Linked DNA regions of Saccharomyces cerevisiae S288C. The protein of the gene in region 2 binds, or shares a complex with, the protein of the main gene of each other region. Each region holds a gene or a part of one and is shown on either strand. Other genes may lie near its edges. A codon is read from its position in the direction of its gene.

Region 1 (16,847 bases), on a different chromosome or scaffold from region 2:
GTATACTACATCGAGACCAAGAAGAACATTGCTGATGTGATGACAAAACCTCTTCCGATAAAAACATTTAAACTATTAACTAACAAATGGATTCATTAGATCTATTACATTATGGGTGGTATGTTGGAATAAAAATCAACTATCATCTACTAACTAGTATTTACGTTACTAGTATATTATCATATACGGTGTTAGAAGATGACGCAAATGATGAGAAATAGTCATCTAAATTAGTGGAAGCTGAAACGCAAGGATTGATAATGTAATAGGATCAATGAATATTAACATATAAAATGATGATAATAATATTTATAGAATTGTGTAGAATTGCAGATTCCCTTTTATGGATTCCTAAATCCTCGAGGAGAACTTCTAGTATATCTACATACCTAATATTATTGCCTTATTAAAAATGGAATCCCAACAATTACATCAAAATCCACATTCTCTTCAAAATCAATTGTCCTGTACTTCCTTGTTCATGTGTGTTCAAAAACGTTATATTTATAGGATAATTATACTCTATTTCTCAACAAGTAATTGGTTGTTTGGCCGAGCGGTCTAAGGCGCCTGATTCAAGAAATATCTTGACCGCAGTTAACTGTGGGAATACTCAGGTATCGTAAGATGCAAGAGTTCGAATCTCTTAGCAACCATTATTTTTTTCCTCAACATAACGAGAACACACAGGGGCGCTATCGCACAGAATCAAATTCGATGACTGGAAATTTTTTGTTAATTTCAGAGGTCGCCTGACGCATATACCTTTTTCAACTGAAAAATTGGGAGAAAAAGGAAAGGTGAGAGCGCCGGAACCGGCTTTTCATATAGAATAGAGAAGCGTTCATGACTAAATGCTTGCATCACAATACTTGAAGTTGACAATATTATTTAAGGACCTATTGTTTTTTCCAATAGGTGGTTAGCAATCGTCTTACTTTCTAACTTTTCTTACCTTTTACATTTCAGCAATATATATATATATATTTCAAGGATATACCATTCTAATGTCTGCCCCTAAGAAGATCGTCGTTTTGCCAGGTGACCACGTTGGTCAAGAAATCACAGCCGAAGCCATTAAGGTTCTTAAAGCTATTTCTGATGTTCGTTCCAATGTCAAGTTCGATTTCGAAAATCATTTAATTGGTGGTGCTGCTATCGATGCTACAGGTGTTCCACTTCCAGATGAGGCGCTGGAAGCCTCCAAGAAGGCTGATGCCGTTTTGTTAGGTGCTGTGGGTGGTCCTAAATGGGGTACCGGTAGTGTTAGACCTGAACAAGGTTTACTAAAAATCCGTAAAGAACTTCAATTGTACGCCAACTTAAGACCATGTAACTTTGCATCCGACTCTCTTTTAGACTTATCTCCAATCAAGCCACAATTTGCTAAAGGTACTGACTTCGTTGTTGTCAGAGAATTAGTGGGAGGTATTTACTTTGGTAAGAGAAAGGAAGACGATGGTGATGGTGTCGCTTGGGATAGTGAACAATACACCGTTCCAGAAGTGCAAAGAATCACAAGAATGGCCGCTTTCATGGCCCTACAACATGAGCCACCATTGCCTATTTGGTCCTTGGATAAAGCTAATGTTTTGGCCTCTTCAAGATTATGGAGAAAAACTGTGGAGGAAACCATCAAGAACGAATTCCCTACATTGAAGGTTCAACATCAATTGATTGATTCTGCCGCCATGATCCTAGTTAAGAACCCAACCCACCTAAATGGTATTATAATCACCAGCAACATGTTTGGTGATATCATCTCCGATGAAGCCTCCGTTATCCCAGGTTCCTTGGGTTTGTTGCCATCTGCGTCCTTGGCCTCTTTGCCAGACAAGAACACCGCATTTGGTTTGTACGAACCATGCCACGGTTCTGCTCCAGATTTGCCAAAGAATAAGGTCAACCCTATCGCCACTATCTTGTCTGCTGCAATGATGTTGAAATTGTCATTGAACTTGCCTGAAGAAGGTAAGGCCATTGAAGATGCAGTTAAAAAGGTTTTGGATGCAGGTATCAGAACTGGTGATTTAGGTGGTTCCAACAGTACCACCGAAGTCGGTGATGCTGTCGCCGAAGAAGTTAAGAAAATCCTTGCTTAAAAAGATTCTCTTTTTTTATGATATTTGTACATAAACTTTATAAATGAAATTCATAATAGAAACGACACGAAATTACAAAATGGAATATGTTCATAGGGTAGACGAAACTATATACGCAATCTACATACATTTATCAAGAAGGAGAAAAAGGAGGATGTAAAGGAATACAGGTAAGCAAATTGATACTAATGGCTCAACGTGATAAGGAAAAAGAATTGCACTTTAACATTAATATTGACAAGGAGGAGGGCACCACACAAAAAGTTAGGTGTAACAGAAAATCATGAAACTATGATTCCTAATTTATATATTGGAGGATTTTCTCTAAAAAAAAAAAAATACAACAAATAAAAAACACTCAATGACCTGACCATTTGATGGAGTTTAAGTCAATACCTTCTTGAACCATTTCCCATAATGGTGAAAGTTCCCTCAAGAATTTTACTCTGTCAGAAACGGCCTTAACGACGTAGTCGACCTCCTCTTCAGTACTAAATCTACCAATACCAAATCTGATGGAAGAATGGGCTAATGCATCATCCTTACCCAGCGCATGTAAAACATAAGAAGGTTCTAGGGAAGCAGATGTACAGGCTGAACCCGAGGATAATGCGATATCCCTTAGTGCCATCAATAAAGATTCTCCTTCCACGTAGGCGAAAGAAACGTTAACACACCCTGGATAACGATGATCTGGAGATCCGTTCAACGTGGTATGTTCAGCGGATAATAGACCTTTGACTAATTTATCGGATAGTCTTTTGATGTGAGCTTGGTCGTTGTCAAATTCTTTCTTCATCAATCTCGCAGCTTCACCAAATCCCGCTACCAATGGGGGGGCCAAAGTACCAGATCTCAATCCTCTCTCTTGGCCACCACCGGATAGTAAAGGTTCTAATCTAACTCTTGGTCTCCTTCTTACATAGATGGCACCTATTCCCTTTGGACCGTAAATCTTGTGAGAAGAAATTGATAGTAAATCAATGTTCATTTCATTGACATCAATGTGAATCTTACCATAGGCTTGTGCGGCGTCAGTATGAAAGTAGATCTTATTCTTTCTACAAATTGCACCAATTTCTTTAATAGGTTGAATGACACCGATTTCATTATTGACAGCCATCACAGAGACGAGACAGGTATCTGGTCTAATGGCATCTTCCAATTCCTTCAAATCGATAAGACCTTGATCGTCCACATTTAGGAAAGTGACTTCAAATCCCTCCTTCATCATGGCCCGTGCGGCTTCCAAGACACACTTGTGTTCCGTTCTAGTGGTGATGATGTGTTTCTTAGTCTTCTTATAAAATCTTGGGACACCCTTAAGAACCATATTATTAGATTCGGTCGCTCCCGAAGTGAATATTATTTCCTTGGGGTCGGCATTGATCATCTTTGCTACGTGAGCTCTAGCATTTTCCACAGCAGTATTTGTTTCCCAACCGTAAGAGTGAGTGTTGGAATGAGGATTACCATAAAGTCCCGTATAAAACTTCAACATCGTATCCAAAACCCTAGGGTCTGTTGGTGTAGTGGCTTGCATGTCAAGATATATGGGACGAGTACCAAAACCTGTGTTTTCTTGATAAGCATGGCTCATTGCAGTGCTACCAGAAGCTACTACAGCATCTGGGGTGGTACCGGATGCACTCGCACGGGCACTAGCCTGTGCCTTTGCAGCAGCCTGAATATCGGTATGCGTTTCCAGAGAGAAGTTGTCGTCTAACTTCACGCCTGCTGCAGGAGGGGAATAGAATCTCCTGCTTACCAAACAAGCCCTATATGTGGCCGCTGGAACGTTGTAAACTTGAGATAATCTTGTTATCGATCTTGTAGCAGTTGATTTCAACATCTTCCAGTTGTAGCAGTTCCTTCGTGTATGCGATATATTTTAATGAAAATGATGTATCTGAAATAGAAAATATAACACACTAATGAACTCTGTCGGTCTTTACTCTGAGTGAGTTACTTAGATAGTCATCATATATCCCTGGGCGATGGCCTTACTATTTGTCAGCGACCGTATCTAAAATTGGTAGGTCACTATCAACTATTGCGGGTAATAGGGTGCATAATAGTATTGTAATATATATAAATATATAAAGCTACTATGATAGATATTTGTTGCTATTCACGTCATCCACTATTACTTTAGTGGTTCCGCTATATATTCGCATTGCCCATCGAAGGCAGTTTTGTGTGCTACCTGCTCGTGACCACGGTCTTTTTGCCCAGTCTTTTACGGCGGGCATACTTCATGATGAAACTGTCTATTTTCATACCTCTTGAATTTAGTTCTTCAATTAGAGGCTTGATATCCTCCAAGTCCCACTGTGACTGTAGCCTAAACAGGACTTTAAACCGTTCTTTGGGGTCCATTGGTAGTGTGCTTTTCGCTATATACTGGACAGTCTTATCGGTAGGCTTGAAATGATAGCCTCGCAGCATGTCAATGTCAATGTCACATGGGAAGAAAGGTGGGAAAAGGGACTTCCACTTGATGAGGAACTCATCAATTGGCATGCTTATTCCAGAAACATATTTCCTTAGCGCTTGAATCCCGTACCACTGAGCTATAAACGGTATTCTCAAGCGCCACGTATTGTTTTCAGCCTCTTGCTCTTGAACAGCAAATTTATTCAGCACTGTTTCAATGATTTCTCTTGTGTATGGATTGAACTCGTCCTCAATGTCCTTCCCCACAGCGTGATGTGTATCCTCAACATTCAGATGCTGTAGATCGAGTGATTCTGCCATTGCGCTCATCAGTAGTACATGCAGTGCTTTGAAAAGGAAGTCTTGTGAAAGAATACACAACACACCGTCTTTCACAGATCCACCAATCTTATGCCATTTTGATATACCTTCTAGCGCAGAACATGGTGAGTTCTCAAGTAGTTCTTCCAGGGTCCCGATAACCTTTGTAGATGACCTCTTCATGATTTTGTCGGAGAAATCCAGTTCTCCGTTGTATATTGGTACTGAATTCAAGTTCAATTCGCCATGTGTCTCTCTGGTCTCAAATTCTGATTCAGTCTTGGCGAATCCCACGACGTCCATGTACGGCTTGGACAGTCCAAACAAGAGCGTTTCGTCGAAAGTAATAGGTTGTTCAGGAACAAATTCTCTCATTAGTAGAACTGTGTTTGAATGTTTGCGCTGCTTCAGCACCCAAGTCTTGTCGTGCGAACACAGTACAACTTCAGACTTGTCTTTGTCCAATGACTTAAACCTTAACTGGTGATTTTGAACCGGATCCTGTATTATATCCAGTAACTCTGGTGTCAACTGGATCAGCTTATAAGATGGATCATACTCGGGTGCGGAATGTAGGTTGATGGACATGGTACAGGATTATTAGTGAGCAAATCTCTGGTGGATTTTTACCGTTCATCTCATAGTGCTTTTTTAGTTTATTTTTCACTTTTTTCTGGTTATACTATACGCTGCCTACTGAAGCAATAAGCAAGAAACACAACAGTATAAAGGGACAAAGATAATAAACCGCCTACTACTAAATAATATCGCTGTGGTATGCTACTCCTAGAGATTTCGATCACCATCGTGGTGCTCTTTGTCATACGCATAGAATTGACAAAAAAGAACCCTAAGCTATAAATTAGGTCATGTTGAGCGATTGCCAGTTGCCAAGACCTAGGGTTTTGTTCGAACAATTCTAAAAAGGTAAATAAAAACAATGGTAAACAAAGGCTTTGATCTTCAATGAGGAAGATTTCTCTCACTGCGGATAGTAAAAACAACACTAGTTTGTCTGTACTCGCATTCTACTGCTGCTACCTGCTACTCATTACGTGTTCGGGCTGTTATCTGGTTGCTAAAAGAGTATATTTACACCTCACCAATGGAGAAAGACCTGTCGTCTCTTTACTCTGAAAAGAAAGACAAAGAGAACGATGAAACCTTATTTAACATCAAACTATCCAAATCTGTTGTCGAGACCACACCGCTAAATGGTCATTCATTGTTTGATGATGATAAATCACTTTCAGACTGGACGGATAATGTGTTCACTCAATCAGTATTCTATCACGGGTCAGATGACTTGATATGGGGGAAGTTCTTTGTCTGCGTGTACAAGTCCCCCAACAGCAATAAGTTGAACGCTATAATATTCGACAAATTAGGAACATCATGCTTCGAATCCGTCGATATATCTTCCAACTCGCAATACTATCCGGCCATTGAGAATTTGAGTCCAAGTGATCAGGAAAGCAATGTTAAGAAATGCATTGCTGTCATTCTGTTACAGCGCTATCCATTACTTTCACCATCAGACTTATCACAAATATTGTCCAATAAATCGGAAAATTGCGACTATGACCCCCCTTATGCTGGAGATTTGGCTAGTAGTTGCCAGTTGATAACAGCAGTTCCTCCAGAAGATCTGGGGAAGCGCTTCTTTACATCAGGACTTCTGCAAAATAGATTTGTCAGCTCTACCCTGTTAGATGTTATTTATGAAAACAATGAATCCACCATCGAACTAAATAATAGGTTGGTATTCCATCTGGGTGAACAACTTGAACAACTTTTTAACCCAGTCACAGAATACTCACCGGAACAGACAGAATATGGTTATAAGGCGCCAGAGGACGAATTACCCACAGAATCGGATGATGATCTTGTCAAGGCCATTTGCAACGAGTTATTACAACTACAAACAAATTTTACTTTCAATTTGGTAGAATTTTTGCAAAAATTCCTGATCGCCTTGAGAGTCAGAGTACTCAATGAAGAAATTAATGGGTTATCCACAACCAAATTAAATCGACTCTTCCCACCTACAATAGATGAAGTCACAAGAATCAATTGTATTTTTCTAGACTCGCTAAAGACAGCAATCCCTTACGGTTCCCTCGAAGTACTGAAGGCATGCAGCATTACTATTCCTTATTTCTACAAAGCATATACAAGACACGAGGCGGCCACAAAGAACTTCAGCAAAGATATTAAATTGTTTATTAGGCATTTCAGCAATGTAATTCCAGAAAGAGAGGTCTACACGGAAATGAAAATCGAGAGTATAATTAAGGGACCTCAGGAAAAACTACTGAAGCTAAAGTTAATTATAGAGAGATTGTGGAAGTCGAAAAAATGGAGACCGAAAAATCAAGAAATGGCAAAAAAATGCTACAACAATATCATTGATGTCATTGATTCGTTTGGAAAATTAGATTCCCCACTTCATTCTTATAGTACCAGAGTATTTACTCCATCGGGAAAAATCCTTACAGAATTAGCCAAATGCTGGCCCGTAGAACTGCAATACAAATGGCTGAAGAGAAGGGTAGTCGGTGTGTATGATGTAGTGGATTTGAATGATGAAAATAAGAGAAATTTATTAGTCATATTCAGTGATTATGTGGTTTTCATCAATATACTGGAGGCAGAAAGTTACTACACTTCAGATGGATCAAACAGGCCCTTAATCTCAGATATTTTAATGAACTCATTGATCAACGAAGTTCCGTTGCCCTCCAAGATCCCTAAGTTGAAAGTGGAGCGTCATTGCTATATAGATGAGGTTCTAGTTTCTATATTAGACAAAAGCACTCTACGTTTTGATCGATTGAAGGGAAAAGATTCTTTCTCAATGGTATGTAAATTATCCTCTGCATTTATCTCTTCTTCGTCAGTTGCTGACTTGATTACGAAGGCTAGAATTTTGGAAAAAGACACTGCATTTCATTTATTTAAAGCTAGTAGAAGCCATTTTACATTATATTCTACTGCTCACGAGCTTTGCGCTTATGATTCCGAAAAAATAAAATCAAAATTTGCCTTATTCCTGAACATACCACCATCCAAGGAGATATTGGAGGTCAACAACCTTCATTTGGCTTTTTTTGCAAGATTTTGCAGTAACGATGGTAGAGATAACATCGTAATCTTAGACGTCTTAACCAAACATGACGATAAACATATAGAAGTTACATCCGATAACATTGTTTTCACCATAATTAATCAATTGGCCATTGAAATACCGATATGCTTTTCTTCCTTAAACTCATCGATGGCCAAAGATTTACTCTGTGTAAATGAGAATTTGATAAAAAACTTAGAACATCAATTGGAAGAGGTCAAGCACCCTTCAACAGACGAACATAGGGCTGTTAATAGCAAACTTTCCGGTGCATCCGATTTCGATGCTACTCACGAGAAGAAAAGATCATACGGTACCATAACAACATTTAGAAGCTATACAAGCGACTTGAAGGACAGTCCATCAGGCGATAATAGTAATGTCACCAAGGAAACTAAGGAAATTTTACCAGTGAAACCTACGAAAAAGTCTTCAAAAAAACCAAGAGAAATTCAAAAGAAGACCAAGACAAACGCCTCTAAAGCAGAGCACATAGAAAAGAAGAAGCCTAACAAAGGCAAAGGGTTTTTTGGCGTGTTAAAAAATGTTTTTGGAAGTAAAAGCAAGAGCAAGCCTTCACCAGTTCAAAGAGTGCCTAAAAAAATATCGCAGAGGCATCCTAAGTCTCCAGTGAAGAAGCCAATGACCTCAGAAAAGAAATCCTCCCCTAAAAGGGCAGTCGTTTCATCTCCCAAAATTAAAAAGAAAAGTACTTCTTTTTCCACAAAAGAATCACAAACTGCTAAATCTTCTCTTCGAGCAGTTGAATTCAAATCTGATGACTTGATCGGAAAACCACCTGATGTTGGAAATGGCGCACATCCTCAAGAAAATACCAGAATATCTTCAGTAGTAAGGGATACAAAATATGTCTCCTACAATCCCTCTCAGCCTGTGACAGAAAATACCAGTAACGAAAAAAATGTCGAACCAAAAGCGGATCAATCCACAAAGCAGGATAACATTTCCAATTTTGCAGATGTAGAGGTATCTGCGTCTTCTTATCCTGAAAAACTTGATGCAGAAACAGATGATCAAATAATTGGGAAGGCGACGAATTCGTCATCAGTTCATGGAAATAAAGAGCTGCCAGACCTTGCTGAGGTGACTACAGCAAATAGGGTTTCTACAACATCGGCTGGGGACCAACGTATTGATACCCAAAGCGAATTTTTACGTGCAGCTGATGTTGAAAACTTAAGTGATGACGATGAACACAGACAGAATGAAAGTAGAGTTTTTAACGATGACCTCTTTGGTGATTTTATTCCTAAGCATTACCGTAATAAACAGGAGAACATTAACAGCTCGAGTAATTTGTTTCCAGAGGGAAAGGTGCCCCAAGAAAAGGGCGTATCAAATGAAAACACTAACATATCTCTCAAAACTAATGAAGATGCATCTACATTGACGCAGAAACTCTCTCCACAAGCGAGTAAAGTGCTGACAGAAAATTCTAATGAATTAAAAGATACCAACAATGAAGGGAAGGACGCAAAGGACATAAAATTAGGAGATGATTACAGTGATAAAGAAACAGCGAAAGAAATAACTAAACCAAAAAATTTTGTTGAAGGAATAACTGAACGGAAAGAAATATTCCCCACTATTCCTAGGTTAGCGCCGCCAGCTTCAAAAATTAACTTTCAAAGGTCACCATCCTATATTGAGCTCTTTCAAGGAATGAGGGTGGTTTTAGATAAGCATGATGCCCATTATAACTGGAAACGCTTGGCTAGTCAAGTCTCCTTAAGTGAGGGACTAAAAGTCAATACTGAGGAAGATGCGGCAATTATAAATAAAAGTCAGGATGATGCCAAGGCGGAAAGAATGACTCAAATTTCTGAAGTGATTGAGTATGAAATGCAGCAACCTATCCCAACTTATTTGCCTAAGGCGCATCTAGATGACTCGGGTATTGAAAAAAGTGATGACAAATTCTTCGAAATTGAAGAAGAACTTAAGGAAGAATTGAAGGGCAGCAAAACCGGTAATGAAGATGTCGGTAATAATAATCCATCCAATTCTATTCCAAAAATCGAGAAGCCCCCAGCATTCAAAGTTATTAGAACATCGCCTGTGAGAATTATCGGAAGGACTTTTGAAGACACTAGAAAATATGAAAATGGCTCTCCATCTGATATTTCGTTCACTTATGATACTCACAACAATGATGAACCTGACAAAAGGCTGATGGAATTAAAATTTCCATCCCAAGATGAAATTCCGGATGACAGATTCTATACTCCAGCAGAGGAACCCACTGCTGAATTTCCGGTGGAAGAACTTCCAAATACTCCGCGAAGTATTAACGTTACAACTTCAAATAACAAGAGCACAGACGATAAGTTGAGTAGCGGTAATATTGATCAAAAACCTACCGAACTGTTAGATGATTTAGAATTCAGTTCATTTAATATAGCATTTGGAAATACCTCCATGAGTACTGACAATATGAAAATATCATCCGACTTAAGTTCGAATAAAACCGTGTTAGGAAATGCTCAGAAAGTTCAAGAGTCTCCTAGTGGACCATTAATCTATGTTTTGCCTCAGAGTAGCACAAAGCATGAGAAAGAGGGGTTCCTTCGAAAGAAACAAAAAGACGAGCCCATTTGGGTTTCCCCTAGCAAAATTGACTTTGCTGATCTAAGTAGGAGAACTAAAGCATTGACGCCAGAGCGTAATACTGTTCCTTTGAAAAACAACGACAGTAGAAAATACAAATATACTGGAGAGGGATCTATCGGTAATATGACAAATATGCTGTTAACTAAAGATGCTTCGTACGCGTACTTAAAAGATTTTGTTGCGTTGAGTGACGATGAAGATGAAGATGGGAAACAGAACTGCGCTGTTGGTGGCCCAGAGAAACTGAAATTTTATTGAGTGTTTTATTGATTTTTTTTTTCTTTTTAATTTAATGCAATGTATACATTTACATAAAATATGGACAAATAAGAAAAAGGGGGAAAAACCTCCCACTTAAGTAAAACTGAATATATTAGATACCTTTACCTACTATCAAAGGTGAATGCTTTTGGATCAATAGGGGTTCCATCGGGGGCAATACCATTTTGGCCGAACTTTCTTTCCATATATAATAGTCTAGCCTTATCGAAATCTACATTATCGTTTTCCATAATTTGTTTAATCTCATTCTTGGAGACATCATCCAAACCACCTCTTACGTCGTTGCTATTCTCCGAGATAATATCGAAATTCCTGGAATGGAGACCGTTTTCTAGGTCATCAGCAAAGGAATCATTTAAACGTATATGTCTATTAAAACGTAATTGTATTCTTGAACGCAGTGCACGAAATTTGTCGGCTATTACAGCTGTTAGTATTTAGATACGGTTTGCACTTTGCATTTTCAAATGCTTAAATATACATACCAACTTTGGTTTTCCGGTGTGCCATAAGAAGGCATAAAGACAATAGCACAACCCAGAGGAGCAATTTGAGATAGAACAAACTCTTCATACTCGTATTTGCAATTTTTGGAAATTAATTGTGTAGCTTTTCTTCTCTTAATTGGTGGCAGTTTTTATATATTCAGTTTAGAATACCCTTTTTTTTTTTTTTTTTTTCTTCGCTTTTCGCATCTCATCGCTGGAAGTGGTGCTCTTTTACAGGGATTAAATAAGGTTATTCTTTTTGGTCAAAATGATAAATATAACTATTAAAGTTATTTATAACCCGCCCGCTTCCTTATTATTTATACGTTATCATAAAGTACACAGGTCATGGTTCGGTTGGTGCTTAGGAATTAATCACGTCTAGCATAAGAGATCTGTAAACTACAACCACCATAATTATAATTATTTAATTTTTGAATACAAAAATCTGCATCTACTAAATTTTCATATTCTACAACAGCAACACCAGTTGGTTGACCATTTTCCTGTGGTTTCAATTCCGCGTTATTGATTTTGCCGATAGGCCCAAACAAGTCGAATAAATCGCTTCTTGCTGTTGAGAATGGTAAATTACTACAATAAATGAAACAGTTTCTATCCCCTCCTGGATTGACACCTTCAGTAAATTTTGCTGCAGTTTCATCAATGTGGACAGCGGCATCCTGCGCAAGACCTGGTTCAGTACCTCTGGTATCTTCAAGGTCCTCACGCCTTTGATTATAACGATCATTGTTCTTTCTCTTGTTGAAACGCCCTTCTCTAACTTCCAAAACTCTACCTTCTACTTCCATGCCGTTGAATGTATCGATAGCTCTAATCATTTCATCCTCAGTAGGATAAATGACAGAACCGAATCCTCTTGAAAATCCGTTGAAATCCAATTCTACATCGGCACGCAAGACATGACCACATTCTTTAAACATATCTTTTAAGGATTGCCAATTCATAGAGTACGGTAAATTGATGATGAACACTTCAAACCCATTATCTATTTCTTCCCTAGTAGCTTTCTTAGAAAATTCCTTGGCAGCTTCAGGAGGAGGATTATCCTGTCTTACCATTAGTTTCCGGTCCATAAAGAGGGCACCATCAAACTTCGATATGGCATCTTGGACAGATTCGTTTTTGGTAAATTCCACAGTCCCCATACCACGGTGATGGCCCTTTGATGTGATAATGTCAGCCTCCACAACTTCGCCCACTGTACCAAACAATTCCTTAAGGTCTTCAGGGGTACAATCAAAAGTCAAGTTTCTCACGAAGATACTATTTTCAAAATTTCTCTTGGTCGCGTCAAATTGCCTTTCTAAGTCTCTTTCAACAATTGGACCTAAAGTACGACCCCTACCGCCACCGCGTCCCCCTCTGAATGATCTGCTTCCTCCTCTGCCACGGCCTCCTCGGCGAGGGGGCCAGTTCCTATCATCGTGGTAGCGGCTGCCACCATAACTCTGATCGTACCGATCATTGAAACGGGAGCCTCGGTCGCGTCTCTGACGACGACTGCCATTACCATTATTACTGCTACTATCGTTATAATCATCGTACCTGTCTCTGTCGTCGCTCAAACGACGACGTACAGGTGATCTTGATCTACTCCTATCATTTCCATACATCCCTAGCTCTCTCTCCATCTTGGCGAAAAAATCCAGCTGATGTTTGTTTCCTTTTCGCCCATAGCTTATTTCTAATGGGAAATCCTCAATATAATTGATTTCATCCAAGCTTTCATTTTTTTTCAATTTTTTTCACCTTCAAGTGAATACATCACTTCCGACGATACCAAAATAATGACAAAATGCCATGAGAAGATCTTATGATATGTAGTAAATGTTAACCACCATTGCTATTTCCTTGCTAGGTTTGCCAAAGCCGTTGGCGAAGGCAGCACTAGACGGCGAGTCACTTCCGTCTCTTTGTCCACTTCCTCTTCACCATCAAATCGAAGCCTGCAAGTGCCGTCCCTCTTGGTTCCGATGACAATTGCAGGATAAAAAGTGGTCGTTTCAGGATATCTTGCCAGAACCTTAGTACCTGGCGGGTAGTTCTTAGTGGGAAAGCCTGGCGGGATCAACAGTAGTTCTTTCCGATTACATTTATACACCTTGCCTGAGTTGCCCAATTCATCAGGTTCAGGATCTCTCACTTCAAATCGTGTACCATCTGCTACGACTTTGAGTACTTCACACTGTATCCATTCGCCGTCGGCACTGCCCCTTCTGGGCTTATAGGCAACCTCTGAGCCCACCAAAATAGGTGCATTTGGGTTGTATTCGCTGGTCCAGTACGATCTGCCAACTTTCCCCACAGCTTTCTTGCCCTGCGACAATGCCATGCGTGTCCCTTCTCCTTCTTCTGCATCTTCAGTATTTTCCTCACTCTTTTCCTCTCGTGACTGATTCAACATCAACGACAAATTGGAACGTACATTGTCAAGGATTCGGTGCACTCTGTTGACGTTTTCCATGTGTTCTTGGAAAGTGTTGAGATGCAATTGCAGCTGATCCTTTGACATATTAAGGAAATTTAGTTTTTTTGTTTGCAGCTCATCATCAAAGGGAATGACCTCGTTGGCATTGTATATGTCTTGCAAGGACGACACTACAACATCCCAATATCCGTCCATAATAAGAAAGGTGACCGTGTGTTTTGCTGTGAAAAACTCCCCCCACTTAGAGAAGCCACCAAGGTATTGTGTCTTTAACCTTTTTCGTATCTGGCAAAATCGAAGAGGAAAGCAGAAAACCAAAAGAAAAAAATAGTTTAGTAACGCGTCACCTCGTACAAACGTACAATCATAGCAACTTATGAGTAAATAGGCTCATGGTTATAGATACGTTATATAGATGTATAGAGGAGAGTCCCGAGGGCGATCGCAAGGCCGAGAGACTAACCTAACCAGGTGGTAGTTGGGAAATGTCGACGATTTCGCTGATCTTTTCGTCTTCGTCGGCAGCTTCCTCGGTGCTTGTCTTCAAAGGAGTTCTTGGCAATGCCATCATACCGCTTCTTGCACACTCTAGGACACCGAATGGCTCGACCAACTTCAAGAAGGCAGAGATACGTGTGGGTTTTGCAGACAACTCCACAATACAGCTTGTTTCGCTGATGTCGACGACACGACCTCCAAAGTTGTTGGTCAAGTTGGTGATATCGTTCAAATGCTCGTGCTTCAACCTTAATACCTCACTGGCGGGCAAGTTGGCAGGGTGGAATTGCTTTTCTCTGATTTCGGCGACCAATTCTTGGGAGTCAGCGGCGCCAGCATTGGTGGAAGTGTGGTGGTGCAATAGTAGGTCTTCGAAGTATTCAGTACCCAATAGAGAGATTCTGGCCATCACTAGCTCTCTTTTGATGATCTCAGAATTGGTATAGTCTAGGACGGCGTAGACGGGGACCAAGTCTTCGATTTGTCTGCGTGCTTGTTCGACTACGCCATCTTGCCCTTGCAAAACAATGGTCATTCTACTTAGGTCTTTGACCTCGGTGTTGCACACGACCAACGAATCGATGTTAAAGCCTCTGGCAGCTAACGTACCCGAGACTCTGGACAAGACACCGGGTTCGTTTTGCACCAAACAGTTCAAGACATGCTGTTTTCTTGGTTGACGAGAAGGCGCTGGTGTTTCGTAAATGATGGATGAAACGGCACTGTTGGCATTCCAGGAAGGAGTGTCTAGTGTGGGCAAGGGAGGTCTTGTTGCGTGTCTGTGCATCTGCTTGTACGCCAACGCGGAGGTCGACGAGGAACTGCAACGCACCATGGTAGCACATGAAGAAGCAACCACCCTGCGGTGGCCGCTTTGCAATAACGATCTCAGCATTAGAAAGACTGGGTTAGTGAGCTCAGATGTTCTAAAGATTCTGTATATACGAACTATGTACTTCCATATATACCATTCCCCGTTCTTGTTAGGTAAAGGTTAAAAAAATATTTTTTATGGCACTTCGGCGATGCGAAAGAAAGTGAGTCACGATAACGGTGAGGTGATTCGTTGGATGTGCCATCGCACAAGGAATTGCTGGCGTGCTAATTCACGACCTTGCTTGACAAAAGTATCGAGGGGAATGGTGCCACGGTGCAGCATCCTAGATAAGCACTCAATGGTGTCCGTGAGAGCGTAGTCCTGGGCAACGAGGTTGTATAGTTGATTGAGTCCATCTGTTTTGGCCACTGCTATGGAGTTCACGTCCTCGTCATCCACATGCGAAGTTGAGCTAAACTGTTGGACTTTGGCCCTATTTGCGGTCAGGACGTCTATCTGTGCGTTTAGCGAGTGCATGGTCTGCTCAATAGCCTGCTCAACGGCTCGTAAATGGTTCTTGTCGATGGCGATTATTTCATGGAATCTGGCAATTGATTCTTGCATGACGGTCTGTCTCGTCAGTATCTTGTCCGCTACATAGTCCACATCCTCTCTGTATAACTCATTGACTACGGTTTGTAGATTTTGTAGCATTTCATGATGGTTGGTTGGGGAGATATCCGTGTTGTCCATGTCCATAAGGTCGAGTGCGTTAGATGCCGGTTGAGGTGGTGGAGGTGGAGGCAATGGCGGTTTTAGGTGTGGAGACTTGGGCTTTGGGGGCAGTGGGGGAGTATTCTGCTCCTGCTGGAGCTGCGTATTGGGCTTAGGGGGTAGACTGGGCGCCTGATCTTGTGGCGGCTCGTGTAAGAGACTCATTAATTCTTGTACGACCATTATAAGGTTCATCGCGGCAGGATCCCAGCAGTGGAGTATGGGCAGCGCAATCCACCCATTGGAGTCGATGTATTCTTGAATGGGCAAGGAACTACTGATGGTGTTCATGTCGAAATTTTCCAAGTTTATACTTATAAAGGGAGGTTTTACCGGGTACATACTGGGTACCCACATGATCACAGGAATACTGTGAGGAGATGAACCATCCTCACCAGTACTAATGGTACCATATATGGACAACAGTAGTTGTGGAGTGCCGTCAGAGTGCGTAAATACCCTTGTTCTTGGCCTTAAACTGTGAAAATTGTCCAGCAGCGCTAAAGAATCGTGGAAAGTTGTTCTTCCGTCGTTATAAATGGGTTGAATGACTTTGAACAGCCAATTGACCACCGCCTCGGGAACAGAGATCTTGCCGTTTGCAGACATCGTTGCTCTTCACTCTCTCTCTTTTCTTGGCCGTTAAGATACCAACTGCCCACAAAATTTTGCCGTAACTTTTTATTCTCGCTCTGTGAAAAAAGACTACTACATTTTTTGACCTTTTATCTATACTTTAAGAAACAAAGGTCCAACGAATAATAAAGAACAAAGAGTAATGAGTAGTTTGTATGTGTCATAATCTCTTCTCTCCGCTTCCCTTTTCTTCCTTCTTCTTCTACTAACTCTCTGCGCGTCCAATTTAGCTATACTGTTGTTGGTGTATTCATAGTGGTTAGTGCCATGTCCGTGCTGTTCT
Region 2 (4,309 bases):
CAGAGCGTTTAGCTGGCTCCTGATGTACCTTTTTTCTAGCTCCTCTTTTTAAGATAGCCATTTCTATAAAGCGGTTAAATTCGTATTGGCCACTGTTCTTATGCTTTATTATAAACTATAACCTTTAAATACATAGTCCAGTTTGTATTTTCCAAGCTTGCAATTTTTGACGGCCCCTTTTCGAGAAATATTTTTGATGATTGACAAAACGAGAAAGAAGTCGTGTCCGACGAGTTAAAACACACCATTTGAATACATATGCTACGTATCCACTTTAGATTTATCAAATACTACCAACTCACTTGAATTGAACTTATTATTCATCTATGACTTAATTTTAGCCGTCATTAGTTTTTTAGAAAAAAATATATAAAGTATATACGAAAAAAATATACATGACTACCGATTTGGTAGAATGTCATATATAAGAAGCACGATTAAATAATAATAAAGTCTGCATTTTTTACTGAAAATGCTTTTGAAATAAATGTTTTTGAAATTCAGTGCTTACCGCCTGTACGCTTATGACGTAATTCAGTCTGTTGTCTTTCAACTTCTGGGTCAAAATTTATGAACTCGTCTAGACCGCTACCACCTGCCACCATTGGCAAAACAGGAACTTTTTTATCAACTTCCACTTCAAGCAAAACTGGGCCCTTGGTAGAAACGAATTCTTTCAACTTAGCGTCCAATTCCTCTTGCTTCTTGACTCTTAAACCTTTTAAACCCATAGCCTCCGCTAGTTTTATGAAATCAGGGTTCAATTGATGTGTGTGGGAATAACGATGTTCGTAGAACAGGGATTGCCATTGAGTAACCATACCTTGCTCTTCATTGTTCAAAATCAAAATCTTCACTGGAGTACCAGCTTGAACGGCAGAACTCAATTCCGTTAGAGTCATGTTAAAGGATGCGTCACCATCAATGTCAATAACCAAAGATTCTGGCTTTGCAACTTGAGCACCGATGGCGGCAGGGAGACCGTAACCCATCGTACCTAAACCACCTGATGTGATGAAAGTATGTGGATTTCTCCATGTCCAGTGTTGAGCAGCCCACATTTGATGTTGCCCCACACCCGTTGTAACAATGACATGTCTTCCTGTGTCGTTGGCAACCTTGGATAGTTTCTTTATAACCGTCTGTGGTTTAATTTTAGATCCTGGAGTCTCCTCCATATAAGCGTATGGGTATTCCTTCTTCCATTTATTTATTTGAGCAAACCATTCAGACCTCTCCTTAACTGGGAAAATCTTTGACATCATTTTGCCCAGATTGGTCGTAGCATCACCTTCCACTGCTATTTGAGTTTGAACAACCTTGTTTATGTTTTTTGGACTAACCTCGAAATGAATAATACCACCTCTACCCTCGGCAGCTGCACGACGAGCTTCTGGAGCGAATTTAGAAATATTACCAGTGACACGGTCGTCGAATCTAGCACCAACTGCAATTATCAAGTCGGCATTTTGCACTGCCAGGTTGGCAGTAGCACAACCGTGCATACCAAGCATATCCAATGATTTTGGATCTTCTTGGTCGAATGAACCTAAACCTTGTAAAGTAGTGGTGACAGGTATTTGAGCACGGTCACTTAATTCTTTTAGTAATCTTGGACCATCTGCATGGTTTAAAATACCAGCACCGACGTATAAGACAGGTTTCTTTGCCAAGTTGATCAAATCTGCTGCTTTATTGATACTTTGCATGACAAATTCATCTTGTGCGCGACTGGTTAATTGGTTTAGTGCGTTTGATGGAAGAGTTGTTTTTGTTGGAATTGGATTTCTTAAGATAGCTGCTGTAACATCCTTTGGTAAATCGACCAAGACTGGTCCCGGTCTACCGCTCGTGGCAATTTCAAAAGCCTCGTTAATACGCAATGGCAATTCTTCCACGGACTTGACCATGACATTCCATTTCGTACAAGATCTAGAAATACCAACGACGTCAGCCTCTTGGAAAGCATCAGTACCGATAGCACTAGTTGGGACTTGCCCTGTAAAGACAACCATTGGAATCCCGTCTGCAAAGGCATCTGCCATTGGAGTAACGACATTGGTGGCACCTGGCCCAGAAGTAACCAAGACAACACCTGGTTTACCAGAAGCTCTGGCGTAGCCTTCTGCCATGTGACCGGCACCTTGTTCGTGTTTTGGAAGAACGAAGTTGAATTTATCACTGTTATGAATGGCATCGTAAACAGGTAGGATAGCACCACCTGGATAACCAAATACAGTATCAACGTTTTGTCTGGACATCATTTCGTTAAATATTTGACCACCAGTTAAACCGACGAAAGAGGTATCCATGTCAGGCTCAGCGCGTAGTTTCTTAGCCAATTTTGAAGGTTCAGCGGGCTGTTCTAATGGATCAACATTGAAACTTGGAGCAGGCTCTGGCCTTTTAGAGGCTGGTAATGGAGACGCACTGTAATAACGGGAAGACGAACTATAAAAGCGCTGCGCGAGAGCTACTGATCTCATGGCAGGTGTGTTGCGGTATGCTATATGTTGAAAGCAACGCTTAATAGCGAAGTTTTTTAGCGTAGATTGTCTGATCATTTGAAAATTGATTCTGTTGTATTTATCTCCTCTTAGCTCAAAGGGTTTAGATTTTGTAAAATACTTTCTATTGTAACAGGGAAAATGTGTGTAATTTCGCTTCAAATGAACTAGTAACTGTGGCTGATGAATTCTTCGGTTTTAGACAATGAAGGAAAAAAACAATACAAATTACGGTGTGACGTAGATCTGAATTATTAATTAGGGATGGTGGAGAAAGGATTAGAAATTTGGAAACTTGATAAGAAAATAAATGATAGCATATATATCAACCAGATAAGAGAAATACAAGTTCATCAAAAAAATATTCTTTTTCATTTTTTTTTTTTTTTTTTTTTTTCAGAGAAATGAATCATCGCTACCGAATAGATGGAAGATTAGAAAAAAAAAGAAAAAATACGAACCTTTTGGCGTGGGGCGCTGATTTTTCCGCGCCGAGATCAGCAACTGAAGCCAAGCCGGTACCGGCAGGCTCCGGCGGCTAGGCGTTTGTCACCTTTCATCCGTGCCGACTGACAGACAATGATACTAAAAGACAGTAATTATGGTATTAGTGGCAAAGTTCTGTTTACATAACTTCTTATTGCTTATATAGGTATGAAAAAAGACATAAGGATGCTATCATATAAAACTAATGGAAACACTGAAAAGCATAATAAATATATAATCATGTTAGAATAAATAGACAACACAAGAAAAGACACTATGAATATCTCCTCCATTTATCTATTTACTTTATTGTCGGGTTCCCCCCTCCTCAAACTTTCGTAAAGTCTTAAAAACTCACCTTGCGACATGTTAGAGATGTCAACATTCTTTGGTATTTCTACTTCTGCGGGTAATCTCCCTTCCTTAACGTCCTCAACATCGGAACTGTCCTGTGATCCTATGGAAGATCTTCTCATGCTCTGCAAGTTCTCTTGCTGATGTGTCCTAGGTTGACGGTACTCTTTCGAAAACATAACCTGCGTTTTACTGTCTCCTGTGTTGTTATGGTTTCCTCCATATACACTTGGATCTGCGTGCTTTTTCTTGTCGTATACTGCGAATGCGTCCCAAAAACTACCCATATTTGATATCTCGATTAGTTGGTTTTATTTATCTTGTTACAGAAGTGGCTACAAAAAAAAATTTTATGGAGTTGCAATAGGAAGGGAGGCTCCTATTTATATACTCACTACAAGATATGGGGGTGATTAGCCAAGCAAGATTGTTATCGCACATCATTACCCCACCCTGCTCCCTCTTATCTCCCTGATTCTGTCACCACTACTTCACATCTAGTACCTTAGAACCCAGTCATAAAAGCGCAAACTGACTGGTGTACTTTCCCGAAATATTGCTTAATTGTGCCTTGTGGAGGCTTTAGCAATTAAGGGAGGCGGCTGATGTCCATCAACCGCCCTGCCAGGAGCCAGATGGCGATGTATGGGGTTTTGGCAAAGCGCAGGGAAGTCACTCTTTTGCGTTGGGGTGACGCCGCCGTCCTCATGATGTGTTAGTTATACGTAAATCATGACTACCAGGCACATCAGTGGACGGCGCTAACACCCTTCATCATTTCTGCTCTGATAATTAAACGTGCCAGATGACTTTTTTTCAAATAGTGATGGATTCTTTTTACAGTTTATCTGGGCTTTATATAGGAGATTATTGCCATCCAGATAAAAATTGTAAGAATGATGATTATCTAAAGTTTAGGTTTTGTCAAAAGTTGGCGCTAAACTAGAAAATACAAAGGATTG

The links.
Region 1: the proteins of ILV2 (region 2) and ILV6 are in contact, whole or in part, in a crystal structure (PDB 6U9D), measured with the Saccharomyces cerevisiae proteins. Residues at the interface, in NP_013826.1 of Saccharomyces cerevisiae: Arg211 (codon at 1,934), Lys215 (codon at 1,922), Trp216 (codon at 1,919), Asn217 (codon at 1,916), Ile236 (codon at 1,859), Pro269 (codon at 1,760), Ser270 (codon at 1,757), Ala272 (codon at 1,751), Leu273 (codon at 1,748), Pro410 (codon at 1,337), Lys411 (codon at 1,334), Ile413 (codon at 1,328), Asn414 (codon at 1,325), Lys415 (codon at 1,322); in NP_009918.1 of Saccharomyces cerevisiae: Gln85 (codon at 14,980), Glu87 (codon at 14,974), Ser92 (codon at 14,959), Arg93 (codon at 14,956), Arg101 (codon at 14,932), Gln134 (codon at 14,833), Arg137 (codon at 14,824), Gln138 (codon at 14,821), Glu140 (codon at 14,815), Asp141 (codon at 14,812), Leu142 (codon at 14,809), Val143 (codon at 14,806), Pro144 (codon at 14,803), Val145 (codon at 14,800), Tyr146 (codon at 14,797), Ala147 (codon at 14,794).

The regions. Positions count from the first base shown.
Region 1 is NC_001135.5:90,317-107,163, forward strand, and holds ILV6 (acetolactate synthase regulatory subunit), read right to left. Parts: upstream 15,233-16,847; coding exon 14,303-15,232; downstream 1-14,302. Other genes in the region: LEU2 (3-isopropylmalate dehydrogenase), read left to right, coding at 1,008-2,102; NFS1 (cysteine desulfurase), read right to left, coding at 2,461-3,954; DCC1 (Dcc1p), read right to left, coding at 4,305-5,447; BUD3 (Bud3p), read left to right, coding at 5,965-10,875; YCL012C (uncharacterized protein), read right to left, coding at 11,001-11,317, 11,385-11,472; GBP2 (single-stranded telomeric DNA-binding/mRNA-binding protein), read right to left, coding at 11,759-13,042; SGF29 (Sgf29p), read right to left, coding at 13,255-14,034; ubiquitin-binding ESCRT-I subunit protein STP22, read right to left, coding at 15,380-16,537; VMA9 (H(+)-transporting V0 sector ATPase subunit e), read left to right, coding at 16,707-16,717, 16,795-16,847. UniProt on the Saccharomyces cerevisiae protein: Regulatory subunit of mitochondrial acetolactate synthase, which catalyzes the first of a series of common steps in the biosynthesis of the branched-chain amino acids.
Region 2 is NC_001145.3:482,339-486,647, reverse strand, and holds ILV2 (acetolactate synthase catalytic subunit), read right to left. Parts: upstream 2,565-4,309; coding exon 501-2,564; downstream 1-500. Other genes in the region: MYO5 (myosin 5), read right to left, coding at 1-61; SPG4 (Spg4p), read right to left, coding at 3,287-3,634. UniProt on the Saccharomyces cerevisiae protein: Catalytic subunit of mitochondrial acetolactate synthase, which catalyzes the first of a series of common steps in the biosynthesis of the branched-chain amino acids.